Alligator mississippiensis: one gene and its partners. The protein of the gene in region 1 purifies or fractionates together with the protein of each later gene. This does not show direct contact. Links are inferred from orthologs where the notes say so. Each region holds a gene or a part of one and is shown on either strand. Other genes may lie near its edges.

Region 1 (3,740 bases):
CTTGCAGTGGCATAAATTGCCATAATGTACACCCCTGCATGTGCGCTTTGTTGTGGGATAAGTTGTCCTGCAATGAGCAGACTACCCTTGCCCAGCTCCCCCTGGCTCTTCAGTACCAGTAGGGCCAGCACTAGTCTTACCTGGTGGCCTGGAGCAGCAGGGGTACAGGTTGGGCAGTACCGAGGCCTAGGCGGTAGTCAGAGTATTGCTCTAGGTGGCCTGGCCTCTGTGCGTGCTTGTCGTATGTGTGTTGCACTGCTTTTTGTTCCATTTGGGGTTTTTCTGCTACCGGGAAATCCCAGCAGTAAATGTTGACCCTGCACTGCAGCACAGGGCACTTTTTAACGTTTGCCTCATCCAGTTTGTGGCACCGCAGCCCGCATGTCCCTGCATGTCTGGACCCGGTCAGAGATTTCAAATAGGAATCTAGAGCGTTAAAACCGCGCTGACCTGCGGAGGCTTTTCCGAGGTCTTCGCAAGAGAAAAAATGCTCTGTTATTATTCCCGTAGTCATAAAATGAGCGCAAGGTCATTTTCCGAGTGGGGCCTTGAATCGAACAAAGGGCTGAGAACCACTGCTGATAACTTTACGGTGCAGCCCGGCGCGCTCAAGCCCCAGCCTGAGGGCCAAATCCACGGGTCCAAATATTGGGCAGTAGGGAAGCAGCGGCCGGTCATTGCTGCTCTCTTAATGACAAATTTCCAAACCAGTGGGGAGCCCCCGGGCTACTTGGACCGTGCAGGGCCGGCTGGGGTGGCGCAAGGCCGATGCGGCGCACGGAGGTGGCGTGGGCCCGACCTCGGCGTGTGTCCCACACCGCTCCTCGAGCCCCACGACCGGCGCCGACCTCACGGCCTGGTCTAGTCGCGCGCAAACACCTGCCCACGCGGCGGGGCTGGCTTCCTCGCGCCCCACCGAGCAGGGGGGCCACCGTGGTCAAACGAAAGCCGGACACACGCAATACATGTAAGGGGGCAGAGGCCTAGTGTGAAACCCTGGGGATGAAACACTGCTCCCCCCACCCCTCCAGGCTCCAGGAGCAGGCTTTGCAGCCTCCCTGCGGCAGGGCCCGGGGTGGCTCCGGGCTGCTTCGCCTCCTCCAGACCCGCAGGCTGCCCCCGCGCAGGGTGGGCGAGCGGGCGGGCGGACAGGCGGGCGGCGGTAGGACCCGGCGGCAGCGCTGGGAGCAGACGGGCTGCGCGAGGGGGCGCCGAGCCCGGCCCGGCCCGGGAGGGAAGGCGGGCGGGCGGGCGGGCGGGCGAAGGGAGGCGGGGAAGGAGCCGCCGGGCAGCGGCAGCAGCAGCAGCGCCCGCCCGGGCCCCATGGGCTGAGCCCCAGCGCCAGCCGCCGCCGCCGCCCGGGGATGGTTTGCGGCCGGAGCAGGAGGCTGCAGCCGCCCAGCTAGGCCCGCGCCGAGGAGCCGCTGCCCGGGTGAGTGCCGGGGCCTGTGCGGGGCCGCCCGCCCGCCTGGGCCCTGCCCTGCCCTGTCCTGCCCTCCCGCGGGAGCCCGGCTCGCCCTCCCCTGCGGCCCGGGCCGGGCTCTGAGGGGCGGGAGGCGCCTCCCGGCCTCCCCCAGCTCCCAGGGCAGGCGGCCTCGCCCCCTCCAGAGACCCCCTGCCTCGCCCCCACGTGGAGCCGGTGCCACTTGGTGGCCTGTTGCGGCTGCCCCCGGCCCCCCAGGGCGCCAGGCGTCCTTTCCGAATTTGCTCTGGTTTCCCCAGGGGCTCGGGGAGGGGGCGAGCTGTCGGCCCCCGCGGGCGGGCGGGCGGGCGGGGGGTTTCGAGATTTCTGTGCCACTAACTTGTGCTTTTCTTCGAGTAGGTTGGGCGCGCGGCTGTTGTGCCCAAATGCCCGCGCGCGTGTGGGCAGCAGCAGTCGCGACGCGCCAGGTTGGAGCGTGTTTGGGAAGCTCGCTGTCCCTCCCCCCCTCCCCCCCTCCCGGGCCTCTGGCTTTTACTGCGAATTTAAATAATTTAGGGCTTGCTTGAGCCTCACGAGAGACGGAGCAAAACTTTGGTAGGGGTATCACGGGGCAGCGCGCACCTGCCAGCTGGCGGGGTTCGAGTAACGGCGCCCTGTGGCCCCCCCATTTTTTCTCCCTTGAGTGTAAAGAGGCGTATTTCTTGTCAGAGAGGTATAAGCAAAGAGCGTCCTGTCTATCCTGATGAATTTCAGAGAGAATCGAGCAATTCTCTCCCTTTCCCGCAGTTTCCGAATGCTTCCTCCAGGGTTGGTCCCCGCTGTGTTGCAAGGTAGAGAGCTGAACTTGTAACCCTGGTCCCACACCTGAACACAATTAACATCCTATCTGTTTTTCACTATGCATTGGAGAGCACTAGGAGTTGCTAATTGCAATGTGGAAGCCTAGGTTAAGTTTGCAGTGTGGAAGAAAAAAAAAAAAAAGAGACAGTTTATATTGCTGTCAACTTCCCTTTGTAATATCAGGACAAGCTTCCCAAACCTTGTGATCAGCCACATGTATAGTAATGACAGTCTGGGTTTTATGTGGTGGTGTTCAAAGCGGAGCATCTTCTGCACTAGCAAGAAGCATCACTAACCACACAAAACTGGTGGGCCACTGTTACATTTTTAAAACCTGAAGTAAGATTTTGAAACAGACTGGTGGTCCATTTTAGGCTTTCTTGAAAGTGAGCTCCTGCAGCTTGAGGGCTTTGGGTCAAATCTGACCTGCCCCCCCCCCCCCAACCTGTTAAGAGAACAGGGGCTTTGAGTGCATTGGTATCACTGGTTCTGTACAGGAGTGGTGGCTGATTTTGTGTCAAGCATGTAGGAGATGTGTTTCATGTCATAGTTTCACAGATGCTCCAACACACAAAGCCGGGCAGGGGCAGAAGGGATAAAGCTCACGTTGTCTGCGTCTACCCTGCCACACACTGCCTCACATGAGGGTGGGGTGATACCCGTTAGATCTGCACCGTCCATTAGGCTATAGTTTCAACTCAAGAGTTGTGGAGAAATAATGGTGTTTCCCCTCCTGCTTTGCTTTTCTATGAGCACAACCTGGCTGTGCAGAATATGTATAGAGACTAAGAGAAAAGTAAGATCTCAGCCTAAGGAAGAAAGGAAGATCAGGTGCATCTTTTAGTTTTGTACCATCTTGGAAGGCAAAAGGGAGGGGTGCATTAGAAAGATACAAAGATGTTAAAAAAAGAGCACCCAGCCCTAAAAGGCTGTCCCAAATACAGCTTCACTCCGCCTTCTGTTGGCAGATTCATTTGCATGGCTTCTTTAAGACGGGTTTTATTGTGCTAGTACATAAGGAAGGGATGCATGTTTAAAATTAATAGTTTATTGAATTTTCACCATTTTTATGCATGTTCTTACTAGCTGTCCCCCATATTAATAGAATAACATATGCAGGGGTACAAGATTAATATGCCATCCATTATTTATTGTACTTACAGCGTTTCTGACTGGTGAGTGTAGGTGATGATATAGTATAGAATAAGGTGGTATAGAAACAAATTTATAAAATTAATAAAAAAGAAAGGGCTAATTGTTTATCTCCAGTTCTTGACAACACTGTCATATGCATTCTCTCACAGGTTAGATAAGTCAGACTGTAGTCATCTCAGATGCCCTGCGTCACTGGGAACCATTCCTAGATTTGCATAGATGAGGGTAACAGTCATCCATTTTTGTTCAGCTTGTGCAAAAGGGAACCTTCTCTCATTTTGGCCATAACTAATAATAAACATTAATTTACTTCTAGGGTGGG
Region 2 (3,740 bases), on another chromosome or scaffold:
GTGCTCACCGGCGGCGCAGGTAGCGCACGACGCGCTGCGCGGGCTGCTCGGGCCAGCGCGCCGCCTGCCGCGCGAAGCCGCGGTGGTAGAGGGCGAAGGCCTCGGGGTCGCGCTGCAGCAGGCGGGCGGCCTGGCGGCTGCTGCCCGCCTGCAACTGCTGGTTCAGGTAGCGGAACCGGGCGGCCTCCAGCCGCGCCTCCATGCGGGCCCGCAGCGCCGCCGCGCGCCCCGAGACCCGCTCCTGCTCCTGCTCCGGGTGTGACTCCGGATCAGGGTCTGGCTGTGCTTCCCCCGGGGCCTTGAACTTGTTCTTCTGCCGCCGCTTGTTCTTCTGCCGGTTCCTCCACTGCTGCCGGCTCAGCCGCGGCTCCGGCTCCGGCTCCTGTTCCTGCTCCTGCTCGGGCTTCGGCTCCGGCTGCTGCTCCCGGCAGCTTGGAGCACGAGCGCGGGGCCGGGGCCGGGGGCGCGTGGCGGCCTCGTGCTCGGAGCCGGAGCTGCTGCCCCCGTCCCGGTCCCCGTCCCCGTCCCCGTCCCGGTCGCAGCGGCCCGAGGCCTCCAGGCGCCGCAGCAGCGCGCGGAGGCGGCGGGGCCCGGGCGCGGGCGCGGGCGCGGGCGCGGGGCGGGGACGGGGAGCGGGACGGGGAGCGGGGTCGGGGGCGCCCCCCGCATCGCGGTCCCAGGCGGGCTCGGCGAACATGGCCCCGGGCGGGCGGGCGGGGCGGGCGCGACGCGGGTCCCGGGGCCGCCGCCAGGGGCCGCTGCGGGGGCGGAGCCGGAGCGGAGCAGGAGCCGGAGCCGGAGCCGCCGCCCGAGCCCGAGCCCGACGCGACGGAGCCGCCGCGGGACCCGTGCGGGGTACGGGGTGGGGTGGGGTGGGGTGCGCGGGGCGGGTGCGGGACCGGTGCGCGGCGCGGGGGCCGGAGCGGGATCACCCGGGGCGGGGGCGGCTGAGACCGACACCGACACCGAGACCGGACACTCGTGACCCCCCCGCGCTGCCCAGCAAGGGGTGCGGGGAGAGGCCGGGGCCGGGGTCATATGGGAGCAGGGGCAGCGGGGTCAGAGGTCGCGGGGATGCCCGCCCTAAAACACCCCCCCCCCCCCCGCAGGAGCCGCGATGGACGACATCTTCACGCAGTGCCGCGAGGGCAACGCCGTGGCCGTGCGCCTGTGGCTGGACAACACGGAGAACGACCTCAACCAGGGGTGGGTGAGCGCGGGGCCGCCCGCAGCCCGGGGCCGGGGCCGCTCCGGCCGCAGCAGGAAGTGACCGCATCGCCGAGGCGCGAGGCTCCTGCGAGCGGGGAGGGGACGCGAGCCCCCCGCTCTGCCCTGCGCCCCCCGGGCCGGGGGCTGCGGCCGGCACCCCGTGTCCGGTCGGTGCGCCGGAGCCGGAGCCGGGCCGAGCCGTGCGCGGGACCGGGCACAGGGTGCGGTGGGCTGGGGCTGGGCGGAAGGAGGGGAGGGGCAGCCCCTCGCCGCGGCCACAGTCTCCTTTTAAGGCCCGGCGTCGCCTCCTCCCGCACGGGCGGCACAGGGAGCGTGGAGGGGGGGTCCTGTCCGCGCCCTCCGGAGCAGCCCCAGCGCCTGCGACGGGGCCGGGGGCTGCAGGCGCACACCTCTGCCCCAGTCCCCCCTGCCCCGTGTGCCCCAGGCTGAGGCCGCGGTGCCCCTGGCGCTGTCCCGTCGGCCTGCCCCTGCCCGGGATGCCCCCGTTGTGCCTGGGGTCCGGCTCCAGCCGCCACCAGCCTCCGCGCAGGGTGCAGGACTCACCCCCCTGCGCGCTCCCCCAGGGATGACCACGGCTTCAGCCCGCTGCACTGGGCCTGCCGCGAGGGCCGCTCCAACGTGGTCGACATGCTGATCATGCGGGGGGCGCGCATCAACGTCATGAACCGGGGCGACGACACCCCCCTGCACCTGGCGGCCAGCCACGGCCACCGCGACATCGTGCAGAAGGTACCGACCGGCACCCCCGCAGCACCCCTCGCCCCACAGAGCACTCCTCAGCACCCCACAATCCCCCCAGTGCCCACGCTGGGGCCCCCACAATGCCCCAGGACCTGTCAGCGCCCTGCCCCTCCCCCTTTGCTCCCAGGACCCCATGTGCCCCGTCACTGGGAGCAGGGAACTGGGACCCAGCGCCCCCCACACTGAGGTCCCCGGCTTCTCCCGCAGCTGATCCAGTTCAAGGCCGACATCAACGCGGTGAACGAGCACGGGAACACGCCGCTGCACTACGCCTGCTTCTGGGGCCACGAGCAGGTGGCCGAGGTGAGCCCTGCCGGCCCGGCGGGGGGGCTGGGGGCACTAAGCTGCAGGGCCGGGGTCTCACCCTCCCCCTACCCACAGGACCTGGTGAGCAGCGGGGCCCTGGTCAGCATCTCCAACAAGTACGGCGAGATGCCCCTGGACAAGGCCAAGGTCCCGCTCCGAGAGGCTCTCAAAGGTAAATGTTGCCCCCGCCCTGTCCTGGGCCGCAGCCCGCCACCCCCTCGTGTCCTGCCCCAGGCACACACCCTCTGCCCTGGCCGTGCCCGGTCTCTCCCGCAGACCCCGGCACCCAGCGCACATCTCTCCGCAGAGCGGGCTGAGAAGCTGGGCCAGAGCCTGACCAAGATCCCCTACAAGGACACCTTCTGGAAGGGCACAACCCGCACCCGGCCACGTAAGCTTGCTGCCACCACAGGGGTGGGTTGGGGGCACTTCTCTGTTTGCAGGGGGCTTCTTGGGGTCGCCCACTGGCAGCCCCCCACAGCTGCAGAGGTGGGGAAGTTTGGGGGGGGAGTTGGGCAGCTCTTCCCAGACTCCCCCTCTGTGCTTGCAGGAAATGGGACCCTGAACAAACTGGCCGGCATCGACTTCAAGCAGCTGAACCTGGGCCACAAACTCAACGAGAACCACTCTGGAGAGGTGTGCATGGCAGGGGCCAGGGCATCAAGCCCTGGGGGCTGCCCAGCCCCTGGCTGGGGCACAGGCCTCAACTCTGCTACCATCACTCCTGCAGTCTGGGGCTCATCCCCTAGTCCGTGCGTGCCCTCCTCCCGCCTGCACAGGGGGTCACAGCCCTGGGGGCAGGGTGGGGAGAGCAGAGGGTCCCCGGACCCCGTGATCCGCCCCCGCTGACCCTGTCTGTGTCTCAGCAGCTGTGGAGGGGGCGCTGGCAGGGCAATGACATCGTCATCAAGGTGCTGAAGATTCGGGACTGGACGACTCGGAAGAGCCGCGACTTCAACGAGGAGTACCCCAAGCTCCGGTGGGGCCGAGGGCCTGGCCGCGGGATGGAGGGGTGGGGGGACATCTCTGGGCAGGGGTGCAGGCGGCGGTGCTGGGCCAAGGCTGGAGTGTGAGGGGCGGGGTGGTGGGGATGGACCGGGGGGAGTCTGTGGTGCTCAGGCCCAGCCTCTTGCAGGATCTTCTCACACCCCAACGTGCTGCCCGTGCTGGGTGCCTGCCAGGCGCCACCCGCGCCCCACCCCATCATCATCACACACTGGATGCCCTACGGATCCCTCTACAACGTGCTGCACGAGGGCACGAGTGAGTGTGGGCATGGGGAGGGGCTCGCAGCGGTGGGTGGGAGGCGGTCCCATCCCCGGTCCTCCCCCCAGCACCGACACCGCCCGTCTCCCCCCGCAGACTTCGTGGTGGACCAGATGCAGGCTGTGAAGTTTGCGCTGGACATTGCGCGGGGCATGGCCTTCCTGCACACGCTGGAGCCCCTCATCCCCCGGCACCAC
Region 3 (3,740 bases), on another chromosome or scaffold:
AACTCCAGTGCCAAATCCCAGCCTGAATTGGGCGCACCTGGTTGTAGTCATGAGGGAGAGGCTGGGAGCCGAGTTCTCTGCCCCAGCTGGGAAGGGGTGCAGCAAACACATTGCAGCAGGGATGCCCGGCTCCCCCTCCGGCTCTGGGAGAGGAGGAGGTCTGTCAGGGCGGTGGGGTAAAGGTGGCTGGGAGGGGGGGTCAGGGCAGTGGGGTAAGGGGGGGCTGGGAGGTGGCAGGGTAGTGGGGTAAAGGAGGCTGGGAGGCCGGACACCTGGGTCCTTTGCGGGTGGGGGATGCAGCCGGTGGCAGCCAGCACCCCTGGGTTCCTTGGTGAAAGGGCAGCGGGTGCCCGCCCATCCCTCTCTGCCTCCGACTCTAGCAGGGCTGCGGCCGGTCCCCAGGGGTGGGACTGCTTGGAACTCAGCTGGGGGAGACTCAGGGCTGTGTCCGACGAACCCAGGCGTCCGCCCCCCCCCCCAGCCCCCACTCCGTCCCGGAGACCCCAGGCGTCCGGGGCAAGCGGGACCTGCCTGGGGCTGGACCCTGGGGACAACATGTCGCCAACAGGGCGGTGATGAGCGATCTAGGAATGAGCCGGCCCCGCCCCCTCCCCGGGAGCCCAGGCCGGCCGCCAGCTCCTCCCCGCCCAGCCGCACCCTGCACCAGCTCTGCGACACTGCCAGCCCCAATCAGCGGGCAGTGGGGGCGGGGCCAATCCCGGGCGCCTGGGTTCCCTCTCCCTTCCCAGGCCCTGCCTCTGCTCCCTTCCCCAGGCGCTTCCTTCCTTCCCGCTGCTTCTGTCCCCGACGGGGGGCTGGGCTGGGAACCCGGGGTAGGGGCCCGGACCCCTGGTTCTCGGGGGCGGGGTCGGGGCCCAGACCCTTGGTTCTCTGTGGGGGCGGGGTAGGGACCCGGACTGCTGGTTCCCTCCCCAGCCTGGGAAAACCTCTGGGGTTCAGTATTGCCAGAAGCACCCCACCCACCCCTCCAGAACAAAAGGTGACTACAACTCCCAGCAGCCTTTGCACGGACCCCACCCTGCCCTGCTGGCTCCCCACTCCCGCCCGCTATCACGTGTGCGATCCCCTTCTGGCCAATCAGACCCCGCCCGGCTGATCCCAGCCGACCAATCAGGGGCCTGGCCGCCGGCCAGGCTATAAAAGCTTTGTCTATATCAGCCCCCGCCTTTTACCAGCCCTTTAGAACGTTGGACGCCGCCGCGTTCGGAAGGAGGAAACTTGGGCTCCGCAGCGTTCTACCCTTAAAGGGGCGCGTCGCACCGTCAAAAAGGGGGCAAAAAGGTCCTGCAAGATGAGGGAAATTGTGCACATCCAAGCCGGCCAATGCGGTAACCAGATCGGCGCCAAGGTGAGGCGGGGTCCGGTTTGCTCGGACCTGTGCAGATCCTCCGGGGATAGGGGATCGCGCCTCGTAGGGCCGGATGGTGCCTATAGGGGGGTGATTTGGCGCTTTTTAAATTGGACAAATTCCTTTAACTCGCCCGGGAGATCGGGGGTGGGAAACCCGTTTAAAACGAGAGAGGGGGCGGGGGGGTGTCTGGGGGTCCGGGTCCCCCTCTCCCCCCCAGCCTTAGAGACTCCCCTCTGATGGCGGCGCGGGGAGACCCGGCCCGCGGAGCAGCCGGCGGGAGCGCGTGGCGGGGTGGGGCGGTCCGGCCGCGGGGGGAGGGGAGGACTCTGCTGCGCGCCAAACCCGCGCGTGCGGGGGGAGGGAACGCGATTTGAACCAGGAGCCGCCCCCGGCGGGGCGGGGCGGGGGGGCTCGGAGCGGGACGAGGCTTCCTGCTGGGGACGCGCCGGCGGGAGAGAAGCGCCCTGATCTGGGGCGGGGCGGCGGCAGCCCGATCTGGGGAGGGGGCTTCTCTCCATCGGGAGGGGGCGTAGCTCGGCGGGGATCGGGCCCGCTCCTGGGTGGTACTAGAAACTTGGTCCATTTCAGCCCCACCCCCTTTTTTGCGGGGAGTGGGGGGGTCAATTTCAGTCTCCTTCCCCCACGTTCGTTTTGGACCCGATCAATTTCAGCCCCTCCCCCTTTGTGGGGGCGCGGGAGTGGTCCATTTCAGCCCCTCTTGCTTTCTGGGCTGTTCAGTTTCAGCCCCTCCTCGCCGGCTCCGGTCCGCCCCGTCTCGCTGGTGGATTCCCCCCCCCCCCGCGAACTTGGCCCCGGCCGTGAACTTGGCCCTGGCCTCAGCCCCGTGCCTCGGCTTTGCCTCCCTCCGGGGCCGGCTTAATCCGCATTAAAAGGGGCGGCGGGCTGCTCGCGGTACCTGCCTTCCCCTCCCCACCCGCCCCGCAGGGTCGTTCTGCTCGATCCGGGTTTGCTACATAGTGTCCGCGGTGCCGACCTGTCACACTGTAGCCGCGGGAGGAGGCGGCTTGGAAACCAAGTTGCCAAAAAAGGTGTGTGTGGGAGGGGTATCGCTCTGCTCCTGGTGGATCCGGGGTGGGGGCAGCCCCCAGCCTCTGGCACTCCCTGCTGCCAAGGATTTGCTGCTTCCCCCACCCTCTTTTGTCTGCACAAGCACATGGCTGCAAAGGCGGGTTCTCTCCCCCTCTACCTGCAGGGGTCTTCCAGCTGGATCCTTTCCCCTTTCAATGGGATCTGGCTGGTCCCCAAGCTTGGACTGACTATTTTCACCTGTCTCCCAGCACCCAGAGGGGAATCTGCTCCTCCACCTCCTAGTTATAAGGGGATCTAGCCCCCCCCTTCCCCTTGGGCCAGAGTCTGCAGGGATCTGTAAGCTGGAGTCTTTGCCCATTCAAGGGACTCAGGGTTGATACCACAGCTCTGCCCCAGTCTCCCAGTACCTGCATTTGGGATCCATTCTCCTTCTCCACCTCCTAGGTATAAGGGGGATCTGGTAAGTGGGTGGCTCCCCTCTCCCCTGGGCTGGGCTCTGCAGGGATCTCCTTGCTCAAGGCTGGATCCTTTCAATGGGATCTGTTTGGGGACCAGGTCTGAGATTTGGTTTGCTTCCTTCCCCCAGCTTGCAGTGCCCAGATCAGGAACCATTCCACCCTCTAGTTATAAGGGGATGTAGTGGGTGCAGCTCCCCTGGTGCCAGGATCTCCCCAGCTAGATCAGATCCCCTCCTTTCCCTTTCCAGTGACTAGGGGATCTCAAGGGCTGAGACTACTTTCTTTGTGCCTCTCTGTAATGGCTGCTGTTGGGGGAAGGAGGCGGAGGTGGTGAGCCAGCCAGACATCTTGGTGAATGCGGTCATCCCCAGCCGGAGGCCTCTGGGATTATTTCCCCTCCCCCTTCCTTTCTGGCTCTGGCTTTTAAAATGCAATTGCAGATGTCCTGGGCGGGTCCAGATCATCTTTGTGGCCGGAAACTGCTGGGAGCTGCCTCATTCTTGCCTGAATCAGGGCTTTTCTCTCCCACTTCTTACTTGCCTTCCAAATAGGAGTTTGACTTTTTTTTTGGTTTTTTTTTCTTTTCTTTTTTTTGTTTTTTTTTTTGGAGCTGGATTCCCTTATAAAGACCTCAAGAGCCAGGCTGGGGGGTGGTGGGGGGTTATTTTGAGCTGGAGATGGCTACAGACAAGGCTGCTTCCTTCCCTCTCCTCCCAAAATGAGCTGATTCTCTGTTTTTATTTTCTAACTCCCCAACCCTATTCCAGGTGCCCACTCTCAAGAGATTGAAGCCTGCCTCTTTTTTTTTACTGCCAGTTTTCCCCCAAATGACTTTGATTCTGTGCGTTTCCAGTCCTACA

The links.
Region 2: the proteins of AKT1 (region 1) and ILK purify together in Homo sapiens (affinity purification with western blotting; 3 studies listed by BioGRID). This does not show direct contact. The link is inferred for Alligator mississippiensis from reciprocal best matches to the Homo sapiens genes AKT1 and ILK.
Region 3: the proteins of AKT1 (region 1) and TUBB purify together in Homo sapiens (affinity purification with mass spectrometry, with the first as the bait; 3 studies listed by BioGRID). This does not show direct contact. The link is inferred for Alligator mississippiensis from reciprocal best matches to the Homo sapiens genes AKT1 and TUBB.

The regions. Positions count from the first base shown.
Region 1 is NC_081825.1:289,116,839-289,120,578, reverse strand, and holds the start of AKT1 (RAC-alpha serine/threonine-protein kinase), read left to right. Parts: upstream 1-1,261; 5' UTR 1,262-1,432; intron 1,433-3,740. UniProt on the Homo sapiens protein: AKT1 is one of 3 closely related serine/threonine-protein kinases (AKT1, AKT2 and AKT3) called the AKT kinase, and which regulate many processes including metabolism, proliferation, cell survival, growth and angiogenesis.
Region 2 is NC_081824.1:483,477,987-483,481,726, forward strand, and holds the start of ILK (integrin-linked protein kinase), read left to right. Parts: upstream 1-1,117; coding exon 1,118-1,206; intron 1,207-1,793; coding exon 1,794-1,959; intron 1,960-2,178; coding exon 2,179-2,274; intron 2,275-2,352; coding exon 2,353-2,449; intron 2,450-2,584; coding exon 2,585-2,668; intron 2,669-2,827; coding exon 2,828-2,913; intron 2,914-3,146; coding exon 3,147-3,256; intron 3,257-3,412; coding exon 3,413-3,540; intron 3,541-3,639; coding exon 3,640-3,740. Other genes in the region: RRP8 (ribosomal RNA-processing protein 8), read right to left, coding at 9-697. UniProt on the Homo sapiens protein: Scaffold protein which mediates protein-protein interactions during a range of cellular events including focal adhesion assembly, cell adhesion and cell migration.
Region 3 is NC_081834.1:57,380,067-57,383,806, reverse strand, and holds the start of TUBB (tubulin beta chain), read left to right. Parts: upstream 1-1,185; 5' UTR 1,186-1,312; coding exon 1,313-1,369; intron 1,370-3,740. UniProt on the Homo sapiens protein: Tubulin is the major constituent of microtubules, a cylinder consisting of laterally associated linear protofilaments composed of alpha- and beta-tubulin heterodimers.